Stegostoma tigrinum: one gene and its partner. The protein of the gene in region 1 interacts with the protein of each later gene in a biochemical or structural test. Links are inferred from orthologs where the notes say so. Each region holds a gene or a part of one and is shown on either strand. Other genes may lie near its edges.

Region 1 (17,200 bases):
TTTTGTTTCAAGTCAATTCAAAGGCCTCAACCTGCCATGTAGATGTGACGGTCAAGGCGGCACAACAACACTGCTTATTCCTTAGGTCGCTTAGGAAATTTGGCATGTCCGTAAGGACTCTGGCCAACTTTTACAGATGCACCATAGAAAGCATTCTTTCCAGGTGCATAATACCCTAGTACGGCAACCGCTCTGCCCAGGACCATAAGAAACTACAGAAGGTTGTGTGCTTAGTCCAGACCATCACAGAGGCCAACTTCCCATCCATGGACTCCATTTACAGTTCTTGTTGTCGCAGAAAAGGCTGCCAACATAAAAGACCTCTCCCACCCCAGTAATGCTCTCTTCCAACCTCTTCTGTCAGGCAGAAGATAGAGAAGCTTGAACACACACACCAACAGGTTCACAAACAGCTTCTTCCCTGCTGGTATCAGACTGCTGAATGGACCTCTCTAACTTCAAATAACTTAGATCTTGCTTTGTATACCCCCTGCACAGCCGTAACCTTGTATTCCTCGCTCTAAGCATCCTGGATCTGTAAGTAACAAAGTGTGGAGCTGGATGAACACAGCTGGCCAAGCAGCTGAGGATCTGATGAAGGGTCTAGGCCCGAAACGTCAGCTTTTGTGCTCCTGAGATGCTGCTTGGCCTGCTGTGTTCATCCAGCTCCATACTTTGTTATCTTGGATTCTCCAGCATCTGCAGTTCCCATTATGTCTGGATCTGTATGTCCTTGTTTGTCATGATCTGCCTGTACTGCTCGCAAAACAAAACTAAACTTTTCAATGTACTCAGGTCAATAGGTCTACAATAAATCAAATCAAGCCAGAGATGTTTATTTAAGAAAAAGGAAGAATGCCTTTGCAATGCTGAAGACTTGTTACATTTGTTATTGAGGTAGGAGAAAGATGAATTTTGCATATAACATATTACTCCATCGATTCCTTGACTTATATTTACATAGTCCTCTTTATGACCTCTGAATCCATCAAAGCACTCAATACCCATTACGTTACTTGTAAAATTTAGGCATAAAGTTGTAATATTGGGAAATAAGGCAAGCTAATTTGTGTATAGTAACATTCCACACACAAATGTGATAATAACCTATTTTTCCCCATTTGGTGGCGGGATATGTTTTGGCCAAAGTATAGGAGATAGTTCAGCTGCTTTTCTTCAAAATAGCTTTCTGTGGTAAAAACGGAAGTGTGTGCAGAAACAATATGCATCTCATTGACTTATATATATACCCATAACATTCCATGATTCCGTTCATAGCATCATACTCCATTTACAAGCTCTCCTCTTAGAGCAGAATTTTACCCTCATGATGTTCAAGTCTTATGTCAAACATGTATCTAAATGTTGGTGTTTTAGGTATTTTTAATTAAAGATTGGAGTTCGATTTCAAAATTTACCTATATATAAACATTGTGATAACATATACAAACCAAAATCAACATACTTTCCATTACAAATGCAGATTGTCCTTTGATGTCTTTCCAGCATTCTGTTTTCAAGATTTCCAAAATGGCATGGATATTACATTCCCAACAGAGATAAATGCTGGTATGTGCAAAATATTTCCAAATGATGGAAATTTTTGAAAAATAACTATGCTTTAAAGTGAACATCCTTCTGGAGTATACAGTCAATGTATACTGATTTCATGGATATGTGGTTGTACTCACCTACTTGTTAGGTTATGATAAAAAAAATCAATTTTGTTCTTATAGGTGTAAGGGCCTATAACTTAAAAACAAAATTAGAAATTCCATTTAATAGCTGAAATTTTATGTTTTATGCGTTATACTGTAACAATAGATGAAAAACATTACTGACTAAACACTAACTTTGTAGGAACCATATTTTAAAACCACAAACAAAACATTCTGCTTCTCAATTTAGCACAAATGAAAACACATTTCACACACACAGTTCATATTAAACAGAATTTTCCCTTTTCTGGTTTGGCATGAGCAATGGTGACAAATTTGGAAAATATATGGAGAATGAAAAAGAAGTCTAAAACTTGACATCGCTAAAACAATTCTGCAGTTTTTCCCTTAAGCTTTACATGGAAACTTCCAAATTTTGCAATGTTGACAAACTCGTTATCAAGGTGGGAAAAGAAATGGAAACTTGGTACAAGCGAGATTTGGTATATCATTAACATCCCATCTTGTCATATTTATATGCCATTTCCAATTCACCTCTCCTTTACCAGGAAAGCAAACCGTGCAAGTTCCCGATATGCAATTCTATCTGGTACCTTGTGACTTTAGCTCTCCAATTGCTTGTTCTGTTCATTTTCCAGCTGTGTTTTTAACACATGTTCTGCAAACTGATTCCCCTCAATCCTTCATCCATACCAGTCAGTATCAAAAAACCACCAGACTCACCGCACCATCATATCAGCGCTCAGATCAATTCACATATCCCCAGTTCAGGTTTTCAATAGCTTACTTTGGAATTCAGGGCCACCTAGGACTTGCATGCTTCTGCATATTATTCTGTTCAAGCAGATACATCCTGCGCAGATGCATGTGTATATTATAGTTTTTAGCTTACTTTCTTAAAGCTCACCTTGCACTTTTTTGGAGGCTGCCAGCCTCTGCCTATTTCACTTTGAGCATGCACTAAGAAAGCAATGACCTCAGCCCTGACTCGCAGGCTGCGAGGCTGCAAGTGGTTTGCAGTACTTTTTCCACGGAAAGAGACAGAAGGTGGGAGTACTAAACAGTTAAGGGAATGGGTAAGTGGGCACCGCTACATCATGCTATGTTGACTGGAAATGAATTAGCTTTATTGTTACACGTACTCAAATGACTGAGTCGGCACTGACAGCACCATTTTAGGTACGAAGGTACCTAGGTACAATCCTTAGTTGCAGAATACAGAAATGAAGATTATGTGCTGATGGTCGCACTAAAGTTGCGGCAGCCGCCACCAAGGCGCAGTGGGGAAAGACCACTGTCTGAGGTGTCTCTGCTGAAAGTAAATGGGGGTCCATTCAGTTATTGGAATCTCCCAGTGTCTCAAATCTATGTAAAAATTGATATTGTATTTATAAGAGAGTTCAACAGAGTCAAAGTTCAATGCTTTTGTTTCGTTCATTTGATATGCAATTGTCACAAATGCAATTCGGTTCTGTACAATGTGTATATATCCACAAAGTTTTTTTAAAGAATAAAGAATATATTTGGAATTAAGAAAAGAAACCAAAAGAAAACTAGCATTACAGCTCTACACAATATATGGTCAGAAAAAAAACCATAAGCCAAGCTAAAAACACAAAAATTACAGATAAAATCACACCTTCAGTATTCATCAGCAGCTCTCACAGAAAACACGCTGCATTTGCTTTAAGCAAATTGCCATCTGTGAAAGTCAAAGTGAAACAGTACTTAGTGGAATCAAGGGGGACTACTCCACTGTTAATCAAGGGGCTGGCCACAGTCAGTCAGTCAGGTTCTTAGCCTTGCAGACTCCAGGGATTAGAATACTTAGACTTTGTGGATCAGGCTAAAGTCAATATGCAGGTCAAGTACAAGCAGACTGAGAATTAAGCATGCATTGGTCAGGGTGCCGTAGAGGTATCAGTCTAACTGCCAGGGCTGTCCTGTCATGTCAGTCCAAGGGATCTGCCGCAGTCACTTTATCAGGGAGCAGTCCATGGAGTCCTGGCTGTAGTGAGCAACTCAATCCTGGGAATGGGGTTCATTGCGCAGGGTTGATGAAAGAACATTCACAGTGATAGAGGGAAATTTTGGATAGAAAAGTAGGACCTCATAGATAGCAGGAACTGTTTGGGTGTTCTGGGAGGTGGCAAGGTTCTCACAGGTCACGATCACCATGGCCTCTGCATGTGAGTGTGCAGGACCACCAAGGGAAGGGAATTTCCAAAAGTGATGGGGTCTGGAGGTAAAGTGGGAACATTAATTGTAATATTAAAGGGCTCAACTGAAATGGGAGGAAGCTGAGGGGTTATGGGACTACAGGAAAAGCAACACTCAAGGGAACAAGGTGGCTGGGGAGAAATATCTTACATCACAGGTGGAGCCTGCACGTTTGTCTCACAAAGAAAATTGGAACCTTGCCACATTGGATCAAAAGCCATCTGTACAATAACCACACAAAATGACTCTCACCTCACACAAATTGGATGGAATAAATTAGTATTGTTTTCTTTAGAATCAAGGTAAAGCTCTGGGAATTCATTTTGTCAACGCTTGGGATTGTAACTTCTTTCATCCTTGAGATATCTGAAGAGGGTACCCATCTCCCACATGGATGTGAGACTTAACCAAGTCTGACATACAAAATTATACTGCAGTACATTGGTAAATATATTTTCATTTGCCCAGTTAAACAAAGTGAATGATGCACCCTAATTCTTTTTCTTCCTTTGGGTGCAAACAGCAGTCGTAACTTCGCGACAGCGGAAGCCAGTTTTGTAGCTAGTCCAGTTGGCATGGATATCTTGAGTGGTTATACGGTAGGTGCTGTTTGGCATTATTAGCCCAGGTCCGCTGAGAGAGTGTCCTTTCACTATCCTCAGTTTGAACTTCTGCAGGCTTTAGGGTCACAGTTTTTCTTTTGGGCTGGGGCGGTCGGGGAGGCACCTCTGCTGTATCCTGTATGTGATAACTTCTTTCGACGTGTGCCAACTGGCACCGCCTGGTCTTTCTGAGAGGAAGCAGCACTTCAGGTTATGTTAAGGTCCCTTGTCCTCCCATTCTCCTTGTTATTGATGTTGACCTATAGGTAAGGAGATGTGATGCAGATCCCTGCAAACATCTGGCAGACAGAGTATGGAGGACTTGGTAACCATGATAGTCACCAACTTTTCCATGCAGTCAGTCAGATATATGTGTACTGTATCCAGCTCAGCGAATGCCTCTGAAGATCCATCCTGCTGTTCGTTTTCACAATAATTAAATCGTCATGCCCTTTTGAACATCTTCTGCCCAAAACTTAGCAACTGCTTGCTCTGCAGCTGTTGTCTGGTTGCTAACTCCTGGGACATCTCTTTGACCAGATGCAAAGACCTGCTCGCTAGATTGGGATCCTGGGTCTATTCTCAATAGAATATCCACTGAGGGTATTCTCTTTGAACAGGTGGGGGGAGTGCAGGCGGGTGCTTTTCCAATGCATTTTCAGAGTTGAATGGCTTCCTTCTCAGGTTTGGATGTGAGCTGGATACCACCAGCTCACTCCTAAGAGAGAGAATTAGTTGTCAAAGAAGGATAAAGGTTAATGGGCTGGATGGCCATTGAGGGCCTCCTGGCTTCACAAGCAGTTGTGCTTTTCCCCAGCTAACTCTAGAATTTTCTCTTTATAGAAAGCAAGAAACCTGATGTCAGCCACCACTCAACTACAGTTGGTCTTGGATTTCTTTTCTATTTATGGGCTAGTTTTTCCGACAATAAGACAGGGAGGAATGACCGAGATGAAAGCAGATGGAAGAAAGGTCAGTGGTGAGTTGTAGTCTATTAGCATTGATGAGACATGTGCGCAGTGGCAGAGTTTAAGTAAGTTGGGGACTTGACAGTGCAAGATGGCAGAGCAAAAGTAGTGGCACTTACCTTATAAACCGCAGAAGATCATTGTCCTTATTTCTACAACACTGGGCATCCTGCTTCACCTGGAATATAGCACTGTAGTATTTTTCTTTGCTGTCAGTGTTGAATTCACTATGACCTCTCTTCTAGGAACGTTCCTCTTGAAAATTTACCCCACCTCACTCCAAGGGATTTTCCATTTATTGCTTCCACCTTACTTAATTGAATTTTAGCTTCTCCTTGACCACGATCGTAAATCTGAAGCAAGGTCACAGACCTGAAATTTTAACTTTGTTTCTCTCTCCACAGCCGATATCAGGCCCGCTAAATATTTCCAGCGTTTTAAAAATTTTTGATTTTCAGTAACTGCAATGTTTTACATTCTTTTAAAATACTTCACATAAGGCAAGATAATAGTTCAAGAGACATTTTTTTAAAAATAGAAAGACAGACAATCTAAAAAATCCATCAGAATAAATCTGTTCTGAGAGGAGGAATATACAGGGGGAAGAAATGATGTTACAGGTATTGTCTCTGATTTAGTAATCCAGAAACCCAAGTAATGTTCTAGGTTCCAGGACAGAGGGTGGAATTTGATTTCAATGAAATCTGGAATTGTCAATTCCATTCTCAATTGTCATAAGATAAAAACCTTTCTGGATCATGAGTTTTCTTTAGGAATGGAAATCTGGTATCCTTACTTGATCCATCTAAAATGTAACTCCACAAAAAAGAAATGTGTTTGATTCCCAGTTGTCCTTTGAATTGGCCTAGGAAGCCTTTCAATTGTATCAAATCATTTAAAAAAATCTCAAAAGAAAATGAAATCACACTAACCATCTGGCATTGAACTAAACATAGGAAATTACAGCAGTAAAGTTAGCCCCGTTGACCCTGTAAAGTCCTTCTTACCAATATTCGGGCACTTGTTCAAAACTTGGAGAACTGACTTACAAGCAGCAGTTTGACAAAGTCAAAACCATGTAAACATACCTTGATGACAATGTCTCAGATACTATCCCCACTCTGGGCATATTCTGTCTTATCAGAATGAGAGCAGAGGTGGTGGCACAGTGACATGCCCTGGGAGTCCATAAGACCATAAGACATAGGAGTGGAAGTATGGCCATTTGGCCCATCAAGTCCACTCCGCCATTTAAATCATGGCTGATGGGCATTTCAACTTCCCTGCACTTTCCTGTAACCCTTGATTCCTTGTGAGATCAAGAATTTGTTGATCTCTGCCTTGAAGGCATCTAACGTCCCGGCCTCCACTGCACTCCATGGCAATGAATTCCACAAGTCCACGACTCTCTGGCTGAAGAAATGTCATCCCATTTCCGTTTTAAATCTAACCCCTCTAATTCTAAGGCTGTGCCCATGGGTCCTGGTCTCCTCGCCTAACGGAAACAACTTCCCAGTGTCCACCCCTTCTAAGCCATACATTATCTTGTAAGTTTCTATTAGATCTCCCCTCAACCTTCTAAACTCTAATGAGTATAATCCCAGGATCCTTAGTCGTTCATCAGTCCTCAATGTTGATTCTGGATCACACGAAGTCTCATTGCATCTGATAAAACATGGACAAGGATATCTCCTATTGATTACCAAATATCACCCCCATCAGACGATGATTCAGTATTCCTCCACGTTGAATTTGGGAGGAAGCAAAGAAGGTGGAAAGGATGCTGAATCTGCTCTGGTAGGAGACTTCAACTTCCAGCACCAAAAAACATATTTGTTTTTCCTTGATCCTTACCAATCTGCCTGTGTGAAATATCTGTCATCGGCAGAATTAGCAGGAGTGACCACTGCAAAATCTTTGTGGAGATGAAGTCCCATCTCCATACTGAAGATACCTTCCATCATGTTGTATGGCACTACCAAATGGGATAGACTGCGCACATATCTGCCACGTTCAGTGGTGAACAGTGGTAGACAATTAAACAACTCATTGAAGGAGCTGGTGCCACAAGTATCCCCATCAACAATGGGGAAGGCCACAGCATTGGTGAAAAGGGTAAGACTTAAGTGCCTGAAACACTCTAGTCAAAAATGCTAAGTGGATGATCCATCTCAGCCTTCTTCTGAGGTTCCCAGGGTCACAATTCACTCCATGTGACACCAATATATGGTAGAAGACACTGGATACTGCTAAAGCTATGGGTCCTGGTAATGTTCCCAGAATAGAACTGAATTTGTCACATCCCAAGTGAAGACCTTTGAGTGTAGCTGCAACACTGATCCTTAGACATCACATTCTAAACCCATGACCACTACTGACTAGAACAACAGCAAGAGATATGTGGAAACACCACCACCTGTAAGCTTTCCTCCAAACTTACTCATTGTTTTGACTTGGAAATATATCATTGTTCCTTCACTGTCACAGGGTCAAAAATCATGGAGCTTCCTTCCTAATAGCATTTTGAGGGTATCTACACCAAATGGATTGCAGCAGTTCAAGACAGCAGCTCACCACCACCTTCGAGGGCAACTAGGGATACATTATAAATGCTGGTCCAGCCAGCAATGCCCACGTTCCATCAATGAATAAAAAATAACTCCATTCAGACGTTTTCTAGCTGTTTGATGTAAATTTATTATTGCAGTTGACAATGTAAGCAGAATACTTTGAAATAAAACAAAGAACTGTGGATGCTGGAAATCTGAAACTCAAATAGAAAGTGCTGAAGAAGGGTCTCTGGACACAAAATACTAACCATGCTTTCCCTCCACAGATGCTGCCAGACTTGCTGAGTTTCTCCAGCAATTTCCATTTGTGCAGAGTACCTTTCCTGTTATAATTTCAATACCATTATTTTCAGCTATCTGAGGTTGATCTAAGGTATGTCATTTATCATTGGTATAAGTTCCTAATGTAATGAGGATTGTGTGTTACAATCTGGCTATGTTAAAAGTGGGAACAGAAAGAACTGATTGTGGATTCTGAAGGGCGCTTACAAAAACCTACATCTCACCAGTTTGATAATTAATTCTGAAGTGCCACAGTTTCACACAAATTACTAGCCTGACAACACTGAACTTTAATCTTGTTTATCCAGCTTTAAAGTACAATAGGTATCTTTTTAACATGCCATTTGACAGATAGATTTAGTTACCAGCATTCAGAGGATGTTACCAAAATTCTTTCTTAGTGGATTTTTTTGCTGAGTTCTAGCCAAATGAGCATATTGAAGAAAATAGAAGACCTTATTCTGTAGGTTCAGTAAATGCAGATGCTGACCAATATTCCATAATTGAGTATTCTTCAAGCAAGATGCTGTTAATAATATGGGCCCAGGAAAAGTGTTGTAGAAAAAACTACAAGTGTTCCATAATGACAATGACTTCAACAACTTGGATTCTATAAACGCCCTCCACAATTGTTCTTATCAAGCGTATTTATAATGCATGGGGAGGGCGAAGAAGAGAGAGAGAAAGCTGCAACTTAACCGAGGTGTCTGAATTAATAAATGCTTTACAGAAAGAGAAAATGGAAGAAGAACTTTAGGATACAATCTACTCATGTATGTACACAAACAAAGCACAGACGTATGGTACATACAACTGAAATATTTTTTAAAAACTCTTCATATGTTTTACACATTATATTCTCCTCCTGCAAATATTGAGCAAAAGGCATTTTTCCTTCTCGGAAGCGACAATTAATAAATCTGACCATTACCTGTAGCCAAAGCCTTCCCCAAACAGGAACTAGCTGCAACCCAAAGCACCTTTTCTAAAAAGCGTGTTTCAATATCAAGCAGCTGATTCGGTAGGATATCGTCTGAGTATTTACGGAGCGCTAGGAAGCGGAATTGTTTAACTGCATACGAGCCTCAGTATTTTTTAAACGTTTTTTGTTTTTGCCTTTTATTGTGTAATTCCTTAAACGGTAAATGTAATTTTACAGTTGTGGTGAATGTGCGGCTGGGCGCTGACGTGTGTTGGCGGGTGATTTATTTCTCATTTTGCTTCAAGCTCTGTTGTTGTGGGAGAGCGATGGCCAGGCCGGTGAGGTGAGTGGATTTAACTGGGTATGATCGAGGAGATAGGCCCGGAATATGGAGGCGACATCCTGGGGTGTGGGGGAAATGGTGGACCTTGGGAGAGGCTTGGTGGCGGGGAGAGACCCGACGGTGGTATGTTCACATTCAGGACGAGGGAACATTGCTCCACAAAAGACCAGTCGTAGAATTTAGTACATGGTGTGCAGGACTGCAGAAATTATATTTGAAAATTCTCTAATCTGTGCTGGCATTTCAGCTATTAGACGAGTTCACATTGTCAAATCCAGATAGACTTCTAGGTTTGACAGAAATTAAATATGCAGATAAACACATTCTGAGAAGAAATGTCAGAAACACGATAAAATAAATATACTTGGAAAGCAGTGTTTTCCATCTGTTTTCATGTTGCAAATGGGGCAATCAGCCATTCAAAAGAAAATGGAAGTCTTAATGTCATTAAAGATCAAGATGTAGGTGCGAAAGAAGAATTTGAATGAGGAGAAATAAGGACAGAAATGCTTTTGTTGAATTCTAGAAGCTAAGAGAATTTGGGACTTACATTAGACAAATGAACCCCATAAATGCACAGAGTTCAGTCAAGTAATGTTTCAGGTGTGATTCAAAGTAACATTGCACCATGAATTAGCATGAAAAGTATGGTAGAATATTCAAAGATTCAGAAGAAGAATGTGGATACATGGATCAAAGAGGGGCCTTTTTATGGTCGTAAGAAGTTTCAGCCCAATGACGAATGTGTTGGTGGCAGAATCTTTCAGTTGATTAGTATTAGACAGCTAGTGAGTTTTGAGAAGGTTTGTAGCTCAGCTGCAGAAAAAACTAGACAAACTCACACAAAATAACAACACAGAAGCATGGATAAAAAACTTATCTGACTGACCATTAACAGATACTGAAACAGCCGATTTAGTAAGAGGATTAAATTACAATTTCCGGAATGTGGACAAGAACTGAGCTACAAAGTATTAGATGGTGGCTGTAGGTCTGCACTGGGTGAAGTAGATGATTAAATTGGTACCTATACTCTCTGATAAATAAGGGTTGGACCAAAGGCAAGGAATTTGAGATTCTACCAGCTTCACATTTGGAGAAAATAACGTACAAAATCTTGTTTTAAAAAGAGTAATTACTCCTTGTAAAATAGCTATAATTAAATCATTTTTTCAGTGTTCCATTCAATACTGATGTTATTGAGTAAGCCTTTGATAAAAATAAGTGTATATGAAACTGGATATGGAAAGTAAGAAAGTCAATGGATTTGGAAAATCCTGTAACTTTGCAATTTATGCTGGTCAGATACTACTAAGTAAATTATTTTGAAGAAGTGTTATTGACATCAGGGGATAGAAATTTAAAAGACTAATAGTTAATTGTGTTAAAACAACGTGGGCAATTTGTTGATGCCTCCGCCAAAAGGTTAAAAATTTTAGTAAATGATTCAGGAACACGGAATGAGGAATGTTACAAGTTTGTCGAAGTGTTAAGTAATAGATGTAAGATATTGAAGGACGCTGTCATGCCTCCAGTAGGTCTGCTGTGAGCAAGGTACTTCATCGAGATAGTGGTAATGGACATAAAGATGTGGGATAAGAATGAAAAATGTTACATATAGGTTTGGCAACCAGATTGAATCAATCAACAATAACACATAGTAAAAATATGAAAATAATTATGGATCAAGTAATGAAAATGGGGGTGGGACTGGACGTGGACTGAGAATGAGTATCTGAGAATGGGGGGTAATTTGCCCGTGATAAATTACAAGATATATGCAGAAATATGAACTTAACAGTTCTGAATATGACAGCAGGAAGCCATTTTACCGACAGGCTATGTGAAAGGAACTATGCAGTAATAGACAAAATGATTCATTGTTTATGATTTGGTCTGCCAAAATTCTATCGTCTGCACGAGCATGGCTGGCAATGTCAAGAATTCACTGCAGATGATCGTAAAATATAGTCCAAATCATTTAGTAGTTGTTACATATCGTTAAGTTCTATCCATTATAAGTCATCAGCACCCAGCTTGTGAAGGGTCTACAATTAACTTTACTGTGTTGAACATTTGAAGGCACTACATGCAGGCAGACAGGCTTTTAATAAAGTGACAGTTTCACAAAGGATCCAGCAATCTTTAAAGTATGGTGTAAAGCTATTGGAAACCAGTTTCAATCAAGGAGATGTTGTTTATTATGAAAGAGAGGGGCATAAATAGTAGTGGAATCGTAGAATCTCTAGAGTGTGAAAGCAAGCCATTTGGCCCATGAGTCCACACCAATCATCTGAAGACCATCCCAACCAGACCCACTGTCCTATCCTATACTTGTAACCCTACCTTTCCCACAGCTAGTCATCCGAGCCTACACATTCCTGGACAATTTATCATAGCCAATTCACCTAACTTGAATATCTTTGAACTGTGGGAGCAAACATGCACAGACACGGGAAGAATGTGCAAACTCCACACAGACAGTTGCCATAGGATGGAATCGAACCTGGGATCCCTAGCACAATGAGATGGCAGTGCTAACCACTGAGCCACTGATGCCTAGGAAAGGTTATTGGTAAGGATGGAGAAACAATATTTGTATAGCAAGGGACAAGGTTGCTTGGGAACATCGTTCAAGAATTGCTTGGTGTAAATTTCAAATTTATAGATTCTAAAGGAGTTAAAGAACAGGATAGGGGATCCTGATACTTCTCGTGACCATATATTACACAGCTATGTGGATCAGACTTTTAACATTGACAATTTGTTTACTGAAGGATGGACTAATTCAGATTATCAAAAGGACAGCTACCAAAGTGGGTACGAAAGTCATATTTGTGCCACAAGGGGCTAGTCAGTGGAAAAACTGGACTATAATTAGGAGATTGAGTAAGGCCACTGGAGAGTATAACACCTTTACGATTGTACAGAATAACCAACAAGACATTAGCCCATGGATTGGGAGCAGGAGGTACAAGAAGTGAAGGTGAGAAAAGGCTGTGTAAGTTCATGCAGTGGTTCTGAAGTCAACTTGTCCCTAAAAAGAGATCATGAACTGTTGGAAAGAATCCTATTAATAGACAAAGAGATCACAACAGTAGCTATTCAGAAAGGTTTAGTAAGCAAGATAGAGGATACCGCTTATAAAGGTCAAGGACCAGAAATGTTACCAAGAACAGAAGCCCATTCGATCAGAAAGTCTCTGTGCTACAAACAAGTTGAAAGATGAGTTAATAAAATCTGCCATAAAGAAGCCACTACAAAGTCTTGAGAGAATTTCACGTGTACGCAGAGGTGGTAGATAGGGGACCACCAGCACTGTATCATAGATGAATATGCTTAGAAAAGATGTCTTCTAACGGGACTTACAAGACTCAAGCCAAGCTAGTGGATTGAGATTGTGGAGTAAAACTGGGGCAAAAGTAGATGCACCTCAGGATAGGAATTTTGAAGATTTTCTTTTATTTGTTAGCAGCGAATACTTGGGAATGTAGATCAATTCTTATTAGAGTTGTATTTCTGCAGGGAGTTCAGCTAAAAAGAGTGTTTCTTTGCCATCCAAAACAGAACACTTTTTGGAACACTCCGCAAGTTCAATCAAGGTGTAGATTGTCTAAATGATGCCTCTAGAGCTTGGTACTTCTCAGGAAGGTCCATCTTGTTGAAGCCAGCCCTGCCCTGTTTTACCAGCGCCATGGAGGAGTGGGTGGTGGGGGTAATTTTTGGGCATCCTTACTGTGCATGCAGTTGATTTTTTTTAGTCTGGAGGAAAGAGTGCCGTGAATTTGACAACATCGTCATAATTGGGCTTCAAGCAGAATTCAAAATTGGAAGCCAGGCTTCTTGGTCTTTTTGTGGGTACCACTGGGGTACCACAGAGTTTGGACTTCAGGCCCCAACTATTTACAATCTATATTAATTACTTGGATGCAATGTAGAAAATCCTATAGCCTAATTTGTAGACGACACCAAAATAGGTGGGAAAGTAAGTTGCAATGAAGAAACAAGAAATTTACAATTAAATATGATTGAGCCAAAACTTGGCTGATGAAGTTTTATGTGGATAAGTGTGAGGTTACTTGTTTTGGTCTGAGGAATAGAAAGGCAACTTACTTTTTTAAATGAAGTAAGCTTCAGAGTGCTTCGGTGCAAAGGGATCTGGGAGTCCTCATGCATGAATCGCAGAAAACTAGAATGCAGGGTACAGCAGGTAATAAAGAAGGCAAAAGGAATTTTGGCACTCATTGAGAAAAGAATTGAGCTTAAAAGCAGGGAAGTGTTGCTGCAGTTGTATAGGGCATTGGTGAAAACGCACCTGGAGTATTACATACAATTTTATGTCCCTTAACATGAAGTGCATGTAATTGCATTGAAGGCAGTTCAGAGAAGGTTCATTAGATTGATTCCAGAGATGACAGGTTTGTCTTATGAAGCAAAATTGAGCAGTTCATGCATGTACAGCTTAGGTGGGGCAGTCTAAAATGAGAGGTCACAGTTTTAGGTGGCAGAGATGAAGTAAAATTCTCTCAGAGGTCATGAATCTGTGGAATTCACTACTCCCGAGTGCACTGGATGACAGGACATTGAGTAAATTTAGGGAGGAGATAGATAGATCTTTCAATACTAATAGAATGAAGGGTTATGGAGAACAGGCAGGAGAGTGGAGTGGAGGCTGAGATGAGATCAGCCATGATCATATCAAATGGTGGATGAAGCTCGAAGGGCTGAATTGCCTACTTCTGCTCCTAGTTCCTATGGTCAAATAGTTTTGGATTGAAAATCAGACCCAGTGATTGGAGTGTTGCTTTGCATAACAATCTTATTTAGAAAATGTTAACTCCATCACAGTTAGTCAAAGTAGGGAAAAGATGCTGAATCTTCCAAATGCAATGGAGGAATTGTGAAGTCAAATTGGACCGCTAAATTGGCTGGACATCTAAATGAGGTCATATGCTAATTTTGAGGCCTAGGAGTTGACAGCGAAAAACCCCAAAGTGGAAGATATTATTTGGATGAACAAAGCATCGAAAAAAATTAAGAATGATGCATAGTGTTTTCAAACTTCCATCCTTGGTGGAAACCAGGAATGTGAAACTTAATGTTTCTACTGATGCTTCTTATACAAGTTTCTATCTGTTCCAAGCACAGGAAATTTTTTAATGTTTATTTTGGGAGACGGAGGCAAATATTACCCTTTTAGTTTGGGTAGCTTCAAAAGTTCAGAAGAATTACCTTAGCAGAATCTCCTTGCTCTTGTTGAGGCAGTCGATGTAGTATTTTCCCTTGTGAAATTATTGGAGGTATTTGAAAAAAGGGATTTTGCAGCAATACCCATTGACTGCTGCATTGATGATAAATCAGTATTGCATAATGTACATTCAATAAAATGTGTGAATGAGGTAAGCCTGAAGATCATTATTGCAGTTTTAAAACAGATGTAGAAAACAGGGAAATTTCCAAATTGTAATAGGCAAAAAGAAGCAGTCTGTTTTCTGACTACTTTATGAAGAAATAAGTAAGCTCCAAGAGACTATTTGAAATTCGAGAAAAGTGGATGTTTGAAACTCTAATGTACATTTAAAAATGTAGGAACATTGAATAATGTCATTTTACTCAATATGTTGTTGTTTTGTGTTTTTCTGATAGTTTTTCACTGTTGTTGCATGCATATTAATCTATTTTTACAAAAGAAAAGAGAATCTGTTATAATCTAGCTTGGTGCTAAATGGAACAGGGAACGGGTGTATACAAAAAGCAGGACAAATTCAACCTGGCCATTTACTACCGCATTGATTTACACTCAATCATTAGTAAAGTGATGGAAGGTGTCACCAATAGTGCTATCAGTCAGTGCCCGCTCAGCAATAATCTGGGCAGTGATGCCCAATTTGAGTTCTGTCAGGGTCTCAGCTCCTGACCTCATTACAGCCGTGGTTCAAACCTGGACAAAAAAGCTGAATACCAGCGGTGAGGTGAGAGTGACAGCCTTGACATCCAGACCTCATTTGACTGAATGTGGCATCAGGGTACCCTAGCAAAACTGGAATCAGTGGTAAAGGGGGCAAATCTTCCAGTGGTTGAAATCATACCTGACACACAAGAAGATGATTTTTGATGTTGGAGGTCAGTCATCTCAGCTCCAGGATATGTTTTCAGGAGTTCCTCAGAATAGTGTCCTAGGTTCAACCATCTTCAGGTGTTTATCAATGACCTTCCATCATAAAGGCTAGAAGTGATGATGTTCGGCACCATTCACGACTCTTCAGATACTGAAACAGTCCATTGTTCAAATGCAACAAGATTTGGACAATATCCTTGATTGGGCTAGCAAGTGGCATAGAACATTGTGCCACACAAATGCCAGGCCATGACTATCTCCAATAAGAGACAATCTAACCAATGCTCCTTGACACTCATTGATATCACCATCACCTGAATTCCCCCACTGTCAATATCCTCGGGATTACCATTGACCATAAATTCAACTGGACTTCACTACATCAATGCAGTGGCTACAAGAGCAATGCAGAGGCTAGGGATACTGCAATGAGTAACTCATCTCCTGACTCACCAAAGCCTTTTTGCCATCTAGTACAAGCGTATAAGATTAAGGGATTGGACACTCTGGTGGCAGGAAGCATGTTTCCGCTGATGGATGAGTCCAGAACCAGAGGACACAGTTTAAAAATAAGGAGTAGGCCATTTAGAACAGAGTTGAGGAAAACTTCTTCACCCAGAGAATGGTGGATATATGGAATGCTCTGCCCCAGAAGGCAGTGGAGGCCAACTCTCTGGATACTTTCAAGAAAGAGATAGATAGACCTCTCAAAGATAGTGGAATCAAGGGTTATGGGGATAAGGCAGGAACAGGATACTGATTGTGGATGATCAGCCATGATCATAATGAATGGTGGTGCTGGCTCGAAGGGCTGAATGGCCTACTCCAGCGCCTATTGTCTAAGTCAGGAGTGTGATGGAATGCTCCCCACTTTCCTGAATAGGTGCAGCTCCAAGAACACTCAAGAAGCTTGACATCATTGTGGATGGTACCACATCCACAAATATCACTCTCTCCACCTCTGATGCTCAGTAGCATTAATGTGGCTTATCTAAGCTGCACTACAGGAATTTACCAAAATCCTTAAACAGCATCATCCAAATCCATGTCCACTTCCATCTGGAAGATAAATGGGAATAGATAAAACAAATGTTGGCAGATAAATGGGAACACCACACTTGCAAGTTGCCCTCCAAGCCATTCACAATCCTGACTTGGAAATGTCTTGCAATTGAGGCCCAGTAACTGGTGGGCGGGTTTGTGAGGGGGATTTGGGGGTAACCGAGGGGAACAGGGGTAGCAGAGGGGGAATGGGACAATTGCGGAGTAGTGGGGGTAACTGAGGGGGAAATGGGGTAACTGAGGGGTTGTGGGGGTAACTGAGGAGGAATGGGGTAACTGAGGGGTTGTGGGGGTAACTGACGGGGAATGAGGTAACTGAGGGGGAGTGGGGTAACTGAGGGGTTATGGGGTAACTGAGGGGTTGTGGGGGTAACCGACGGGTTGTGGGTGTAATTGAGGGGGAGTGGGGTAACTGAGGGAGAATGGGGGTAACG
Region 2 (16,775 bases), on another chromosome or scaffold:
ACTGTCTGCAAACTTACTCTCCGACATTCAAGTTGAAATCGTTATATAAACCACAAACAGCAAGGGCCCCAACACTGACCCCTATGGGACTCCACTGGATACAGACTTCCAGTTGGAAAAACTGTCCATCAACTGTCACCCTCCACTTCCTGCCACTCAGCCATTTGTGGATCTAAATTGCCATTTATAGGGGAGATGTCAGAGGTAGGTTCTTCACACAGAGTGGTGGGCAAGTGAAATACGCTGCTGGCAGTGGTAGTGGAGTCAGATACTTTAGAGACTTTTAAGAAACTCTTGGATAGACACATGGAGGATAGCAAAATGTAGGGTATGCAGGGTAGATTGAACTTAGTAGGATAATAGGTCAACCCAACATCGTGGGCTGAAGGGCCTGTACTGTTCTATGTTCTAATTGGACCCAATGGGCTCTCTCATACTTATCAGTCTCCCATGAAAGACCTTAAACAAAATGTGAAACTCTGAAATTTAGAATTTTAGTAGTTAACCAGGGATTGGAAGATTTAGCAATAACTTTCTGAAATAAACAGTTTCTTGAAATAAAGGAACAAAATTTTGAAAGCAATTCACCATCCCTAAGAAAAGGTGGTGTTGAAGCTACATAAACAAATTGTTTTAACATCTGTTTGACAACTAGATGCTTTGTGACCAATAGGCAATTAAGATTGGCTGCAGATATTTTTAAGGAGTTAATGGCAGGATGGTTTTTTTTTTGGCCAGATAGCTAACACCAAATGTATGGGACAGAAAATCTACTGATAAGAAGGCAAGTTACAGATTTGTTGACTGCAGAAGTGTCATAAATCCTGTCATACCACAAGCTTAACAAGACAGGGAATCCAATAAAAATTCAACTTTGGGATTCTTCAGCAGAATTCTGAAGAGCCACACTGCTTAAGGATCATCCAGAGACAGATGGTCTTAGTTGGAATTGTATCTAAGTTCCACCATTAATTGGGTAATGATTAAGTTGGGTTGTGAGGCTCAACTTGCTTACTTGAATGGTCATATTTTGCCTGCTACAAGCAATAGAGTTTAAATAATTGTTTCAGCATTTGATTATGAGATTTCTGTTATAACTCATAAGAGTCTTGCTGAAGTTCAAGTTGATTACAACTAAAACATTGCCCTCAATCTACAAACCTGGTCACTGTTCAAAAAAGTACAATCAAGTTGGTCAGATATAACCTGCATTAAGAAAACCATGATATTCGTGATTAATCTTTGCCTCTCCAAATGCAGATTAATTCTGAACCTTCTGAATTTTTTCTGTTAGTTGGGAGGTGCCATGGAATACCAGATCAAAGGCCATCTGTGCAGAGAATTTCATCAACATGCTCCGTCGCCTCCGCCTTCAAGATGTTGATGACAGACTTCACCCGCAGAATATAACAGAAACATTTAAGCTCAAGCAGAGATGTGTCATTGCCTCCACCCTTTTCTGTATCTTCAGTTTGCATTCTCCGCATGTGTGCATGGATTTCCTCCAGGTGCTTGAGTTTCCTCCACAGACCAAAGATGTGCAGGTTGGGTTGGTTGGCTATGCTAAACTGGCCTGTAGTGTCCACGAATATTCAGGCTAGGTGGATTAGTCATGCTGCAACTGTACAAAATGCTAGTGCAGCCTCGTTTAGAATATTGCGTGCAGTTCTGGTCGCCCCATTACAGGAAGGATGTGGAAGTATTGGAGAAGGTGCAGAGGAGATTTACCAGGATGTTGCCCGGTCTGGAGCGCAGGCCCTATGAAGAAAGGCTGAGGGACTTGGGTCTGTTCTCATTGGAGAGAAGGCGGCTAAGAGGGGATTTAATAGAGACATACAAGATGATCAGAGGATTAGATAGGGTGGACAGTGAGAGTCTTTTTCCGAGGATGATGACTTCAGCTTGTACAAGGGGGCATAGCTACAAACTGAGGGGTGATAGATTTAAGACAGATGTCAGAGGCAGGTTCTTTACTCAGGGAGTGGTAAGGGCGTGGAACGCCCTGCCTGCCAATGTAGTTAACTCAGCCACATTAGGGGCATTTAAACAGGCCTTGGATAAGCATATGGATAATGATGAGATAGTGTAGGGGGAGGAGCTTAGATTAGTTCACAGGTCGGCACAACATCGAGGGCCAAAGGGCCTGTTCTGTGCTGTATTGTTCTATGTTCTATAAATGCATGGATAAATAAATACAATAGGGGCATCGAAGGGATATTTAAATAAGCACATGAATATGGAGGAATATGGACTCTGACCAGCTAGCTCAGAGCCAGCCCCTAACATGAGGGGAATCCTGAGACTTCTGTTTATATCTGTCAGCCAGGACTTCCTGATTGACCCAGGTTAACAGCCCCAGTCAGATAATGCATACTCGATGGATCCACCTAGCCAATGTCGTTCCAACCACTAAATCCCTCCCACACTAAGTCTGGCGATGCAGGCATGTTGTTTCTCTTGTGGCTTCTCCTGGAACATTTTCACCCCAAGTCCATTCCTCTAACTCAGCCCTGTAAATGGATGGCGTGTACCAGACTGTCTGACCGTCTCTTGCACCTGGACCATCTCAGCAGATATTTCTCTTCTTCTTCAAGTGGTAACAGTATCAAGACTGCAACATTGGCTGCATCCATCTCTGACTCTGAAGTTTCTTCAACGCCAGATGGAGAGGGAGAACCCAATGTGTCTCTGACAGCTTTACCGGCTGAGCTAAGGGGCAGGGCACTTTCTGCTCCTGCCCAATTTTGAGGTAACAGCTTTAGTGTCATACACATGTTTGTTCAGGACTGCCTCACCTACCACAACCTTGCATGTCACAAGGCCTGATATCACATCACCAATGCTTCATACCCTTGCAGGGCCATTACTGAGTTTCAACACCAAACCTGGTCCCCTGAAGTAAATTGTCTCTCTTATTTAGAGGAGTCTTGTATTCAGCATTGGTGTCCCGATGCCGTATCACGCTCACCCTCCAGCTGTGGGAATATCAGGTTAACCTGGTCCGGAGTCTTCTCTCCATCAGTAATTCTGCTGGAGCAACCCGTGTAGTTGTATGAGGGTGGTCCTATAATCAAACAGGAACCATACTGGGTTGGCGCGACCTTGCCGCCTTTAAATATCCCTAACAGTGGTCGGTTGCTGTTACAAATTTACTTCCGTAAAGGTATAAATGAAACTTTCTCACACTGAAAATGACCACCAAACGTTCCTTCTCTATCTTGACAAATTTGTGTTCGGCATCAGCCAAAGTCCAGGAAGCATACGCTATCGGGCTTTCCTATCTATTGGGCTACAATTGAACCGACTCTTAGCTGATACCATACAGGCAGGCATTGCATGTCAGTAGCGCATCTTGCGTAGGTTTGTAATGAGCCAAGACCTTAGATGATAGCTGCTTTTTCACTTCCCTAATGGTTACTTCTTGGATATGTGACCATTTCCAAGGCTGACATTTTATCAATAGCAGGTTTCAGGGTGCCAGATTATCGATGAGTTTTCCATAATAATTCACCGGGGAAATAAAAAACCCAGGGAACAACCTAAACTCTGGTACAGACCTGGGAGCTATGGCATCTTTGATTGCCCTCACTTTTTCTTCTAAAGGGTGTAACCCAGTCTTGTCAACTCTATAGCCCAGGTAGGTTACTTGGGGTGCTTGGAACACACATTTTTTTCTCTTCCAAGGCATACATCCACCTGGGAGAAACATTTAACCAAATGTAAGGGTTGGAGTCCAGAGCAAATCTTGTTAAAAACTGGTTCTGCGATCACTGATAAAGCTGTGCTGGTATTGACCTCCATTAGAATTGGGTGACCACTTAACCAGACATTTAATTGATTGGTTTTGATTTGGATGTTGTGAAGCAATTTAATTGTTCCAAACCACATGCAGGTAAACTTGCCAGGGTGTGCACTCCTGGATACTGATCTATGAGTTGCCTAACTCAAATCAGGCCTCATGGGACTCCTTTGTTATCTCAAGTTCACAGCAGCAACTACAATGCCTGGCTAGCCTGAATTCTAAAGAACAATTGGCCAAAGCTCGCCTTTGTTTTGAGGTTTTGCTGTGGGCTGATCTTGGGTCCATCTTCTCTACCAGGCCCTACTCTTTCCCTGGTTATTCTGCTCCCGTTGACATACTTGTTGAATATCTTGGGATTCTCACAAGTCTTGCCTGCCAGTATTTTTTTTCCATGCCAATCTTTACTTCCTAAGTGCTTTCTTGAGATTCCCCCTGCACTTTTCATACTCCTCCTTGTAGCTCATCCTCCCACTAAGCTTTAGTCATCTGCAAATTTGAAGATATTACATTTAGTTCCCTCATCTAAATCCTTAATGTATACTGTGAATACACCCTACACCATAAATGTCTACTTTGAATTTACTTTTGAACAGAAGAGTTAAATGTGATACTTTCCAGTGTACAGAGACAATGGGAACTGCAGATGCTGGAGAATCCGAGATAACAAAGTGTAGAGCTGGATGAATACAGCAGGCCAAGCAGCATCTTAGGAGCACAAAAGTTGACATTTAGGGCCGAGACCCTTCCGGCCCAAAATGTCAGCTTTTGTGCTCCTAAGATGCTGCTTGGCCTGCTGCGTTCATCAAGCCGTACACTTTCCAGTGTACAGTTGGTTCTGTTATAATGCATATTTGGGCAATGCAAATTGGCTATAATGCAACTGACAAATAGGGGAATGCTATTTCTAAAGTGCAAACTTGTGTTGGCTATAACATGATTCCATCAGTACACAGAGGAGTGTTGACATCACATGATTGTTTTGCGGGCTTTGTCCTAAACACGTGCAATGTTAGTGCCAGAAGAGTCTCCGCTCAGGGATCTCATGATTGTTTCACGGCTTTGTCCTGAATAAGCGCAATGATGGCACTGAAAGAGTCTCCACGCAGGCATCATATGATCATTTTGCATACTTTGTCGTGGTGATTTCTGTGAGAGGTACAGCACTCTGTGATTTTCATTTTGCGCTTGCAAATTCTGCCGTGTTACCCACAAAAATACAAGGACAAAGTGACAAGAATGTTAGCAAGAAGTGTCCTGATGTTAGAATTATGAATGGTGAATGTAAAAGGCTGTAACACTGGAAGAGAAGCCAGAAGTTATAAAGCGTTTTGAGCGGAATGAGAGAACATGTGACATAGTTCATGTAACAGGAAAAAAGGAGTCTGTCTTACACACAATTAAAGACAATGTAGAAAAGATTAAAGCAAACTGTATTGCTCAAACAAGTCAGAGTGCTACCAAATCCGGGAGGTCGTGGACAAAGGAACTTGAGTAGATGGAGTGGCTTCTCAGTGTGTGGATAGAAGATCAAACAAAAAAGCGATCTTGGACCATCTTTCTCACCATAAAAGGGAAAGCTTTATTAATTTATGAAGATCTAACAAAAAAAACTGAAAACCCTGCAAGGTGTGCCTGCATTTAGTCCTAGCACTGGCTAGTTTTCTGGTTTTAAGAACCACTGTGCTTTTCATAACATAAAGTTATGTAGCGAAGCAGCCAGTGCAGACAATGAACATGCAATGGCATTTCCTCCCATTGTAAAAAAAAATTGTTGAAGAGGACTACAACTTAGATCAAATTTTCAATTTTGATGAGACAGGTTTATATAGGAAGCAAATGCCATCAAGAACCTACATTTCTATGAAGGAAGCACACATTCCAGGCTTTAAGTTGACAAAGGATCGTATGACTGTGCTGCTGAGTGACAATGCCAGTGGTCACTTAAAGCTTAAGCCTGTGGTGGTGTACCACTCTGCCAACTCGTGAGCCTCGGAAGGTTATCTTAATTCTACTTTAGGTGTCTACTTTAGATCAAGCAAAAGAGCTTGGACGATGGGGCAATTTTTTTCTGACCTTATTGTTGATGTTTTTAGAAAGTATTGCAGGAAAACTTGTTTGGATTTCAAGATTCTCCTCATCCTAGAAAATGCGCCAGGCCATCCCCCCACCATTGGTGAGCTTTCTGAAAACATCAAAGTGCTATTTCGATGCCCAAAGACCACCTCTCTCCGTCAACCCATGGACCAGGGTGTAATAGCAAGATAAGAACAGTGTTCTTCAATTTTGAAAGAATTTTAATGTCAAGAACGCAATTATCATTATCGTGGAGGCCTGGGATGATGTCAGTAACAACAGCTTGCATGCAGTTTGGCAGAAGTTTCTCCCAGATGTTTTCCAAGGTTTTAAAAGCTTTGATCTGTCAGAGGAACTCCTAAGATTCAAAGAACATCGTGTTGATCTTGCAAAGCAAGTTCGAATTGAAGAAGTGTAGAGTGAGGATGTTGAAGAGCTGCTCGAGTCCCACTGTGAAGACCTCTGTACAGCTGATCTACAACAACTTGTCATTGAGAGGGAAGTGGAAACTGTAGATGAAGAAGCTGAAGTCCCAGACGCAGCACCACAAGACCTTTCCACTTCTGTTTTGTCTTCTACCCTGAGAGAAATTGAGAAGCAGTTGCAGGTCTTCCAGGACAACAAGTACAATGCAGAATGCAGCAGGGTAGCAGTTTGTGGAATAAGATCTTATTTGGCACCCTATCTGCAGCTTCTTCATGATAGAAGAATAAGGATAAAGTGACAACAACTGGATGTCTTCTTCAGACCAACCACCAAGAAATAGTCGGAAAACAATGAACCGTGGCCATCCACTTCTGGATTAACTATTTTTCACCCAAACCCTGCAACCACAACTGCACCTGAAGGTGGTGATAATGATGATGATGATGATGACCCTCAGCACCTGCATTAGCAACAGAGCAACCTCAACACCTCCTCCTTCATTAAGTCACCTTGACATTTTTTCAAGGTAAGGTGTTAAATTTACATTTGTTTCATTATTAGATATGAGTTAAACATTTATTCAGACTGTGCTATCCTTTGTGTTAGGCTTTTGAGTGATTTTTGAGCAATTTTAAGTGATATATTTTGATAGTCTGCTTTTCCTATAGGCCTTATTATTCCTATGGCATGATTTTCTACAATGTGATGTTGCACAGGATTGCAACTATTTATCATTGCATAACTGACTGTTGTAAATTTTGGAAAACTTAACAATGCAACAACTGTCTCACTAGACATTTCTTCACAAATGCTATGTTTCTATGAAGTCCAACATGATCCAGGAACATTGTCAGCTACCAACTCCAAAATATTGCTCAGAACCATTTTCTTGGATATTGTAAGTTTCTTGAGGTTCTCCCACGCCTCCATTTCTTATTTATCGCTGTTCCTGGGAGTTTACTTGCATCCCTTGCAGCGAAGACTGATGCAAAAATCCTATCCAAATAATATAACAAAGTGTGGAGCTGGATGAACACAGCAGGCCAAGCAGCATCTCAGAAGCACAAAAGCTGACGTTTCGGGCCTAGACCCTTCATCGGGTCTAGGCCCGAAACATCAGCTTTTGTGGTCCTGAGATGCTGCCTGGCCTGCTGTGTTCATCCAGCTCCACAATTTGTTATCTTGGATTCTCCAGCATCTGCAGTTCCCATTATCACTATGCAAATAATATGCCATCTCCTTAATTTTTGTTGTTAGTTCCCCAGACTCACTTTTTATCGGAATAACAGTCACTTTAATTCTTTTCCTTTTTTCAGTAGCTATAGAAACTACTATCAACAGTTTTTATATTTCTAGCTAGCTTACCCTTGTACTTCCTTTATTATTAGTCTTTTAGTCATTTTTTATACTCTATTCAATCTTCAAACCTTTCTTTGAGTAATTATTCTTTTTCTTTAGATTTGATACTAACTTTAACTTTTTTTAAATTAATCACGGATGGTCGGTTTTCTCATTAGATTCTAACAAGAAAGAAAAGTTCTATTTATTCATTCTGTGTAATATCCTTTTAAACGTCTGCCACTGCATCTCTATTGAATTTTCCTGAACCGAATTTGCCAGTCACATTAGTTAGCTCTGTTTTCATTCCCTCAAAATTGTCATTGTATAAATTAAAAATATTAGTCTTGGACCCCACACTCTTCTCTCCCTTAAATGGAATGTAAAATTCAAACATATTATTATTGCTGCTAATAGGAGGGCAGGTTGACTATTAAGTCATTAATTAATCCTATCTTTTTGCACAAATTCGAGTCGATATGACTTCCTCTCTGATTCATACCAGTACATACTGTTTTTAAAAATACTACAAGTTGTCTTTGTGTTAAACTTCAGGAGATGGGAGCGATATTAAACTAATATCTTGCATCAGTTTTTACTGTAGAGAAAGAAATGGATGCTATGGAACTCATGGAAATAAATATTGATATTTTGAAAACCATTCACATAATAGAAGGGGAAGTGCTAGAGATCTTAGAAAACTTAAAATTGGTTAAATCTCCAGGACATGATCTAGTTTATCCCAGGACTTTGTGGGAAGTTAAGGAGGACATTGCAGAGTCCCTTGCTAAAATATGTGTATCATCTATAAATACAGGAGAGGTGCCAAATGACTGGAGAATGACTAATGTGTCTTTGTTTAAACAGGGATGTAAGTAGAATCCTGGAAACAGTATACTTGCGAGTCTGACTTCGGTGGTGGGCAAGTTGTTGGAAGTGATTCTGAAAGATGGGATTTATATGCATTTGAAGTGGCGAGGAATGATTAGGGATTGTCTGCATGGTTTTATGCAAGGTAAGTCGTGTCTCACAAACTTGATTTTCAGTTTTTTGATGAAGTAACCAAGAAGATTAGTGAGGGCAAAGCGGTAGTTGTTTTTTACTTCCACTTTAGTAAAACGTTTGACAAGGTTCCGCATCGTAGACTGATTAGTAAAGGTAGGTCATATGGAATTCAGGGTGAGCTTGCCAATTGCTTATGAAATTAGCTTAATGGCAGGAGACAAAGTGTGATGGTGGAGGCCCGTGGCAGGAGTGTTCCACAGGGATTGGTTTTGGGTCCACTTTTGTTTGACATTTATATAAAAATATAGTAAACATGGTTAGCAAGTTTGTGGATGACACCAAACTTGGTGATACAGTGGGCAGTGGAGAAGTTATCAAAGATTACACAGAAAAGCCACACACACAGACCAGGTATTGAACTTCAATAGTAACCATCCCAGCACACACAAATGAAGCTGCGTGCAAACACTATTTAATAGGGCAACAACACACTGCAGCAACATGAACTATGTCAAGAGGAGGAGGAATACCTCTTCCAAGTGTTCAAGGATAATGGACATCCAAAGAACTGGGTCAGGAGATGCCTACAGGAACAGCATCAGAAAGATTCTACACTCATCACACTACCTTACATCAGGAACACATCAGAACTCACCACAAGACTTCTACGACTACTCAGCATCAGAGTTGCACACAAATCCACATCAACCCTACGACAAGTGCTCACCCGAACTAAAGATCCACTCCCTGCCATGGACAGGACCAATGTCATCTACAAGATCCCCTGCAGAGACTGCAAGAAACACTATATTGGACAAAGAGGAAGGAAACTAACAACAAGAGTACATGAACAGCAATTGGTTACAAAAAGACACGACCAGTACTCACTCACTCATCTCAATCCACATGGACAAGGAGAACCATGACTTCGACTAGGACAACACCAAGATCCTGGGACAGGCTAGGCACAGACAAGCACGAGATTTCCTGCAAGCATGGCACTCCACGAAGCATCCTATTACTCAACAAATTGAACTCGAACCTATATACATTCCACTACAGATGAAATCCGCAAGTGAGGCAATCCAACGCAAGCCACCCCAGAGTTTAAAAACCAGACAGGGAAACACACTGATGCTTCATCAGAAGCTGCACTGAGGACGTTACCAAGCACGGTAACAAAACACCTGCAGAACAACAAACTAGCTTGGCGAGCCAACCAACCTCAACATCCACAACCCGAGCTACAAATCTACTCCAAAACCTTAGAGTATGCAGATACTGTTACAACATTTAAAAGAGATTTAGAAGTACATGAATAAAAATGTTGTGAGGCATATGGGCTAAGTACAAGTAGGTGGGACGATTATAATTTGGAATTATGATCAGCGTACACAGGTTGGACGAAGGGGTCGGTTTACATGCTGTGTGACTCTACCCTGAAAACATTCTATGAATTCATCTTCTGAGCTATTTTGCCGATTTGATTTTCAAAGTCTATATCTATTAAAAATTCCTCCATGACTATCACGTTATCCTTCTGATAGATTTATTTCTTCTGTTGTATGGCTATGGTTAGAGGACATACACACTAATCCCATAAGTGAGTTCTTGCCTTTAACTTTTCTTATGCCAACTTGATTTCCGAAGAAATTTGGTTTATTGTGCAACACTCGAAGAAATGCCTTTCCGGGGGGGGCACGGTCCACGGGAGGACGGTGAGCGCAATTCCCACCAAAACCAACGGCCGCCTAAATTCAAATAGCGAACACGTGATGAAGACCAACAATAGGAGCGGCGGGAGTGCCAAACAGTCTTCAAACTTAGAGAGCTGGGGCCGCGAAGGTAAGGGGCTCCGCGGGGGGGGGGGGAGTGAAGGATGAGAGAAAAGCTGAGGGGAGAGAGGAACGAGAGAAAAGGTGGTGGGAGGGAGGGATGAGGCAAAAAGAGAGTAAAACTGGGGGAGAGAGAGTAATAAGAGAAAAGGAAGAGAGAAAAAAGTAGAGGGGATTGAGAGAAAAGTGGGGGAGAAGAGGGATGAGAGAATAGGTGTGGGGGAGAGAGGGGGAATGATAGAAAAGATGCGAGCGAGAGAGGGCGAATGAGAGAAAAGGGTGGCGAGAGAGATGAGAGAAACGGTGGGATGGACTGAAACAGGGATGAGAGAAAAGGGGTGGGGAAAAGGAATGAGAGGAATAGAAGGAGAGCGATGTGAGAAAAGTGGAGTGGAGAAGGGGGAGAGAAAAGTGGAGTGGAGAGGGGTGAGAGAAAAGATGGTGGTGGAGAAAGGGATAAGAGTAAAAGCGAGGGGTCCGAGAGAGGGATGAGAGGAAGATGAGAGAATAGGTGCTGTTGGGGATAGAGAGGAATTAGTTAAAAGGTGGGGGGCGGGAGAGAGGATTAACTAAAAGGTGGGGGATAGTAGGGGATGAGAGAAAAGGTTGGGGGAGAGAGAGAGGGATGACAGCAAAAGTGGGGGGAGAGAGGGGAGAGGTAAAAGGTTGGAGGGTGATAGGGATGAGAGAAAGGTGGAGAAGTGACAGGAAGATGTGAGAAAAGGAAGGGGGGAGCGGGATGAGAGAAAAGTGGTGGGGCGAGAGTGGAATGAAGGAAATGTTGGGGAGCAGAGAGAGGGATCAGATAAAAGGTGAAGGGGAGAGAGATGGGCATGAGATCAAAGGTGGCAGGAGAGAGAGAGAGGGATGAGAGCAAAGGTGCAGCGAGAGAAAAGGAATGAGAAAAGCAGACAAAGAGAGGGATGAGAGAAAAGCCTGGGAGAAAACGGGGGGGGGGGAAATACGCTTGATAGAAAAGGGAGAGGAGAGAGATGCATGAGAGAAAAGGTGGGTGGAGAGACGAAATGAGAAAAAAGGTGGGTGGAGAGAAACAGATGAGGGAAAAGGTTGGGAATGAGAAAGAAGGATGAGAGAAAATGTTGGAGAAACAAGGGAGAAGACAGGGATGAGAAAAGGGGGGTAGAGAGGGATGAGAAAAGGGATGAGGGAAAAGATGGGTGGGGAAAAGCGAGAGAGAGGATGGGAGAAAATGTGTTGGGGGAGAGAGAGAGGATTGAGAATAAAGGTGCGGGGGAAAAGAGAGAAAAGGTGGGGGGTGAAAGGGATGAGGGAAAAGGGTGGGGGGAGAGAGCGATTATGGAAAAGGTGGGGGAAGAGAGGGATTAGATTAGATTCCCTACATTGTGCAAACAGGCCCTTCGGCCCAACAAGTCCATACTGCCCTTTGGTGCATCCCACCCAGACCCGTCCCCCTATAACCCACACATCCTGAACATTACAGGCAATTTAGCATGGCCAATCCACCTACTCTGCACATCTTTGGACTGTGGGAGGAAACCAGAGCAAACCCGCACAGACACGGGGAGAATGTGCAAACTCCGCACAGACAGTTGCCCAAGGCTGGAATCGAACATGAGCCACCGTGCTGCCACTTATGATGGGAAAGTTTGGGGGAGAGAGGGATGAGGGAAAAAGTTGGGGAGCCTAGAGACAGTTGAGAGAAAAGCGATAAGGGAAAGGGGGTGTGAGAGGGATGAGAATAAAGTTGGTGGAGGAAGAGAGGATTGAGAGAAAAGGTAGCACGGAGAGAGAAGGATGAGAGAAAAGGGGGCATAGAGTGAGAGAGAAGGAGGGAATGAAAGAAAGTGAGTAAAGAAATGAAGGGAAAGTGAAGAAGAGAGGGATGAGAGAAATGGGGGTGGAGAGAGGGATGACAGAAAAGGCAGGTTGAAGAGATGGATGAGAGAAGATGGTGGGGGTAGAGAAAAAAGATGGAGAGAAGGGTCTGTGAGAAAAGTTGGGGAGCGAGAGAGGGAGTAATTAAAAGGTGGTTGAGAGAGGGATAAGAAAAGGTTGGGGGAAAGAGAAGGATGAGAGAAAAGGAGGCAGAGAGAGATGAGAGAAAGGGGGTAGAGGGGTGAGAGCAAATGGGGAGCAGAGAGGGATGGGAAAGGCTGGGTGGGAGAGAGAAAAGGTGGGGTAGAGAGAGATGAGAGAAATAGGGGGAGAGAGAGGGAGGGATGAGAGAAAATGTTGAAGGGGAGATGGAAGAGAGAAAAGCTGGGGATGGGGTAAAGAGAAATAAGATGCGGATAAGACAAAAGGTGGAGCTGAGAGAAATGGGGGAGTGGTTAGAGAAAAGAGAGGGAGCTGTGAGAAAAGGTGGGGGCTAGAGAGAGGGATGGGAGAAAGGTCGGGGTGGGGTAAGAGACAGGGATAAGAAACGGTAGGGCGGATGGAAGAGAGAGGGTTGAATGAATGGAAAGAGAGGGGTAAGGTGGGAGGTCGGTAGAGAGATTAGGTGAAAGGTTGAGGGTTGGGTGAGGGAAGTGGACAGAGGGATGAGAAAAAACTGGCAGGAAAAAGGGATGAATGAAGGGGAAGAGCGAAGGAAAAGAGGAAATGTGGTGGGGTGGCAAGAGAGGAATGAATGATGGATGAGAGAGTGGGACGAGGGGAAAGGTGGGGTGTGGAGACATGAATGAAAGTATAGGGGGGAAGGTGGGATGGCTGACAGAGGGATGAGGGGAAAGGCTAGGGCAGTGGACAGAGGGATGAGGGGGAAGGCCACGGATTGCAAACAGAGGGAATGAGAGGAAAGGTGGGATGTAGCTAGAGGGATAAGGGGTTAGGAGGGTACGGAGAGTGGGGAGGAGAAAGGTGGGATGGTGGACAGAGGGATGAGGGCAAAGGTTGGGCGTGCAGACAGAGAAATGAGGGACAATGGTTGGGGGAAGAGAAAGGGCTGATTGAAAGGGGGCTGAGAGGGATGAGTGAAACCGGGGTGGGAGACAGGGATGAATGAAGGGGGAGAGACAGTTGGGGGAAAGATGTGGGGGGACGGAGACAAATGAGGGAAAAGGTGTGGGCTGGTTGGAGACGGCTGAGGAGAATGGTGTTGGGGAGGTGAAGAGAAGGACATGGGGAAAGGTGGGGGTGTGGAGAGAGGGATGAGGGTAGGGAGGTGCGGATGGTAAAGGGAAACATGGTCCACGTAGCAGAGAGGGGTACGAGAATAACGGTGGGTGGGCATGGCGAAGGGGGGTTGAGGGGAAAGGTTGTGGGGCGGCGGAGAGGGGTACAAGGGGAAAGGTTGTTGGGGTGGCGGAGAGGGGGACGAGGGGAAGGGTTGCGGGGCAGCAGAGAGGGGGACAAGGGGAAAGGTTGTGGGTGTGGTGGAGAGGGGATGAAGGGAAAAGTGGATGGGGATGGCACAGAAGGGCACGAGGGGAAAGGTGATTGGGTGTAGAGAGGGGTTGAAGGGAAGGGGGTGGGGGCACGGAGAGGGGGACATGGGGAAAGGTGGTGAAGGCCTGGAGAGGGGTCGAGGAAGGAAGGACGGGGGGATGAGGAATTGGGGGGAAGGCGAGAGAAGGAAATTGGGGGAGAATAGGACGAGGGAAGGGTCAGAGTGGAACCAGGGAATTGGAGGGGGGATGAGTGAAGCGGAAGAAAAGGTGAGAAAAGGAAATGGGGGTAGAGGGGGATGAGTGAAGGGGGACGAGGATGGAAAGATGAGAGAAGGAAAGCGGGAGAGGAGAGGGATGAAGGGAAGGGGGAAAACAAGGAAGGGGGAGAGTGCAATGCAGGAAAGTGGTGAGACAGAGATGAGGAAGAAGGCTAGGGGTGAGGAAGGGAAATGGTGTACAGTAGATGAGGGGGAGGGATTAGGATGATGGGGGGGTCTGGGAGCAGGATGGGGGGGCATGAGTGGAAACGGAGCATGATGAGGGGAGGGAGTGGGACGGTGAGGGTAAAGTAGTGGGATGGGGGATTGGGGCAGCAGGATGACCAGAGGGAATGGGATGGTGGGTGGGGTGAGGAGGGAGTGAGTTGAGAGGGGTTGGCTGGGAGCAGAATAGAACTACAGTTAGGACTTCCTATATTAGAGCACTGGCAGAACTTCACTTCAAAAGTAAAAACCGAAAGAACTGCCGACACTGTAAATCAGGAACAAAAACAAAGTTGCTGGAAAAGCTCAGCAGGTCTGGCAGCATCTCTGAAAGAAAATATAGTCAACACGGCTTTGTGAGGGGTAGGTCATGCCTTACAAACCTTATCGAGTTTTTTGAGGATGTGACTAGAAAGGTTGATGAGGGTCGAGCTGTGGATGTGGTGTATATGGACTTCAGTAAGGCATTTGATAAGGTTCCCCATGGTAGGCTCATTCAGAAGGTCAGGAGGAATGGGATACAGGGGAACTTAGCTGCTTGGATACAGAATTGGCTGGCCAACAGAAGACAGCGAGTGGTAGTAGAAGGAAAATATTCTGCCTGGAAGTCAGTGGTGAGTGGAGTTCCACAGGGCTCTGTCCTTGGGCCTCTACTGTTTGTAATTTTTATTAATGACTTGGACGAGGGAATTGAAGGATGGGAAGTTTGCAGACGACACAAAGGTCGGAGGTGTCGTTGACAGTGTAGAGGGCTGTTGTAGGCTGCAGCGGGACATTGACAGGATGCAGAGATGGGCTGAGAGGTGGCAGATGGAGTTCAACCTGGATAAATGCGAGGTGATGCATTTTGGAAGGTCGAATTTGAAAGCTGAGTACAGGATTAAGGATAGGATTCTTGGCAGCGTGGAGGAACAGAGGGATCTTGGTGTGCAGATACATAGATCCCTTAAAATGGCCACCCAAGTGGACAGGGTTGTTAAGAAAGCATATGGTGTTTTGGCTTTCATTAACAGGGGGATTGAGTTTAAGAGTCGTGAGATCTTGTTGCAGCTCTATAGAACTTCGGTTGGATCGCACTTGGAATACTGCGTCCAGTTCTGGGCGCCCTATTATAGGAAAGATGTGGATGCTTTGGAGAGGGTTCAGAGGAGGTTTACCAGGATGCTGCCTGGACTGGAGGGCTTATCTTATGAAGAGAGGTTGACTGAGCTCGGTCTCTTTTCATTGGAGAAAAGGAGGAGGAGAGGGGACCTAATTGAGGTATACAAGATAATGAGAGGCATAGATAGAGTTGATAGCCAGAGACTATTTCCCAGGGCACGAGGGGTCATAGTTTTAAGCTGGTTGGTGGAAAGTATAGAGGGGATGTCAGAGGCAGGTTCTTTACGCAGAGAGTTGTGAGAGCATGGAATGCGTTGCCAGCAGCAGTTGTGGAAGCAAGGTCATTGGGGTCATTTAAGAGACTGCTGGACATGTATATGGTCACAGAAATTTGAGGGTGCATACATGAGGATCAATGGTCGGCACAACATTGTGGGCTGAAGGGCCTGTTCTGTGCTGTACTGTTCTATGTACTGTTCTATGTTCTATATGTTAACTCCGTCTTTTCTTTCACAGATGCTGCCAACCTGCTGGGCTTTTCCGGCAACGTTGTTTTTGTTTACTTCAAAAATAATTAATTGGCATTGAAGAGCTTCGGGGTTTCCTGAGATTATGAAACGTTCCATAGAATTTCAGGTTTATCTTTATTCATGAAATGTTGTCTTGCTCTTTTGTGCTTTTAGCAATACAACTGATTCTAAAGTAAGTGCCTTGCATTTGTTTGCAACAATGAAGGCCATGGAGGATCAGGTGGTTGAGGAGGAAGTTAGCTTCCAGGATGAAGAGGTACAGTAACATTACTTGCAGTATCTAAGATTGTTTCCATGATAGTGTATCATGGCTCAAAAATATGAAACCTCTTTTTGTATTCTTCTTTTATAAGTGTACAGTTAACAAAAAGAAAAATACAGGAGCAAAAATAATGTGAATGCTGAAAGTCTGAAAATAAAAACAAAAAATGCTAGAAATATTTAGATGCCAAGAAGCATCAATGGAGAGAGAGAGAGACAGGTCAAAGAATCAATAATATGTCTTAGATAATAAAATGTGAGGCTGGATGAACACAGCAGGCCAAGCAGCATCTCAGGAGCACAAAAGCTGACGTTTCGGGCCTAGACCCTTCATCATGTCTTAGTTGGTTTTTGATTACAGAGCTAGATCAGCATGTGAGAGCACAAAGAAAGTGGCAGAGAAGTAGGCAGCTTAATTGAAGACAGGCTGATGCAAATGCAACACAAACAATCCTTTTTGAAATCTGAAACATCCTTCCAAGCAGGTTTGCTGGTACGATTGGTTAGAGTTTGGCTGGGGGTTGAAATAATACAGTACAGAAGATCAAGTT

Evidence for each region.
Region 2: the proteins of rad51ap1 (region 1) and dmc1 form a complex in vitro, tested with the Homo sapiens proteins (2 studies listed by BioGRID and IntAct). The link is inferred for Stegostoma tigrinum from reciprocal best matches to the Homo sapiens genes RAD51AP1 and DMC1.

Annotation. Positions count from the first base shown.
Region 1 is NC_081378.1:34,610,875-34,628,074, reverse strand, and holds the start of rad51ap1 (RAD51-associated protein 1), read left to right. Parts: upstream 1-9,487; 5' UTR 9,488-9,569; coding exon 9,570-9,586; intron 9,587-17,200. UniProt on the Homo sapiens protein: Structure-specific DNA-binding protein involved in DNA repair by promoting RAD51-mediated homologous recombination.
Region 2 is NC_081391.1:989,531-1,006,305, reverse strand, and holds the start of dmc1 (meiotic recombination protein DMC1/LIM15 homolog), read left to right. Parts: upstream 1-10,427; 5' UTR 10,428-10,489; intron 10,490-16,116; 5' UTR 16,117-16,162; coding exon 16,163-16,219; intron 16,220-16,775. UniProt on the Homo sapiens protein: Participates in meiotic recombination, specifically in homologous strand assimilation, which is required for the resolution of meiotic double-strand breaks.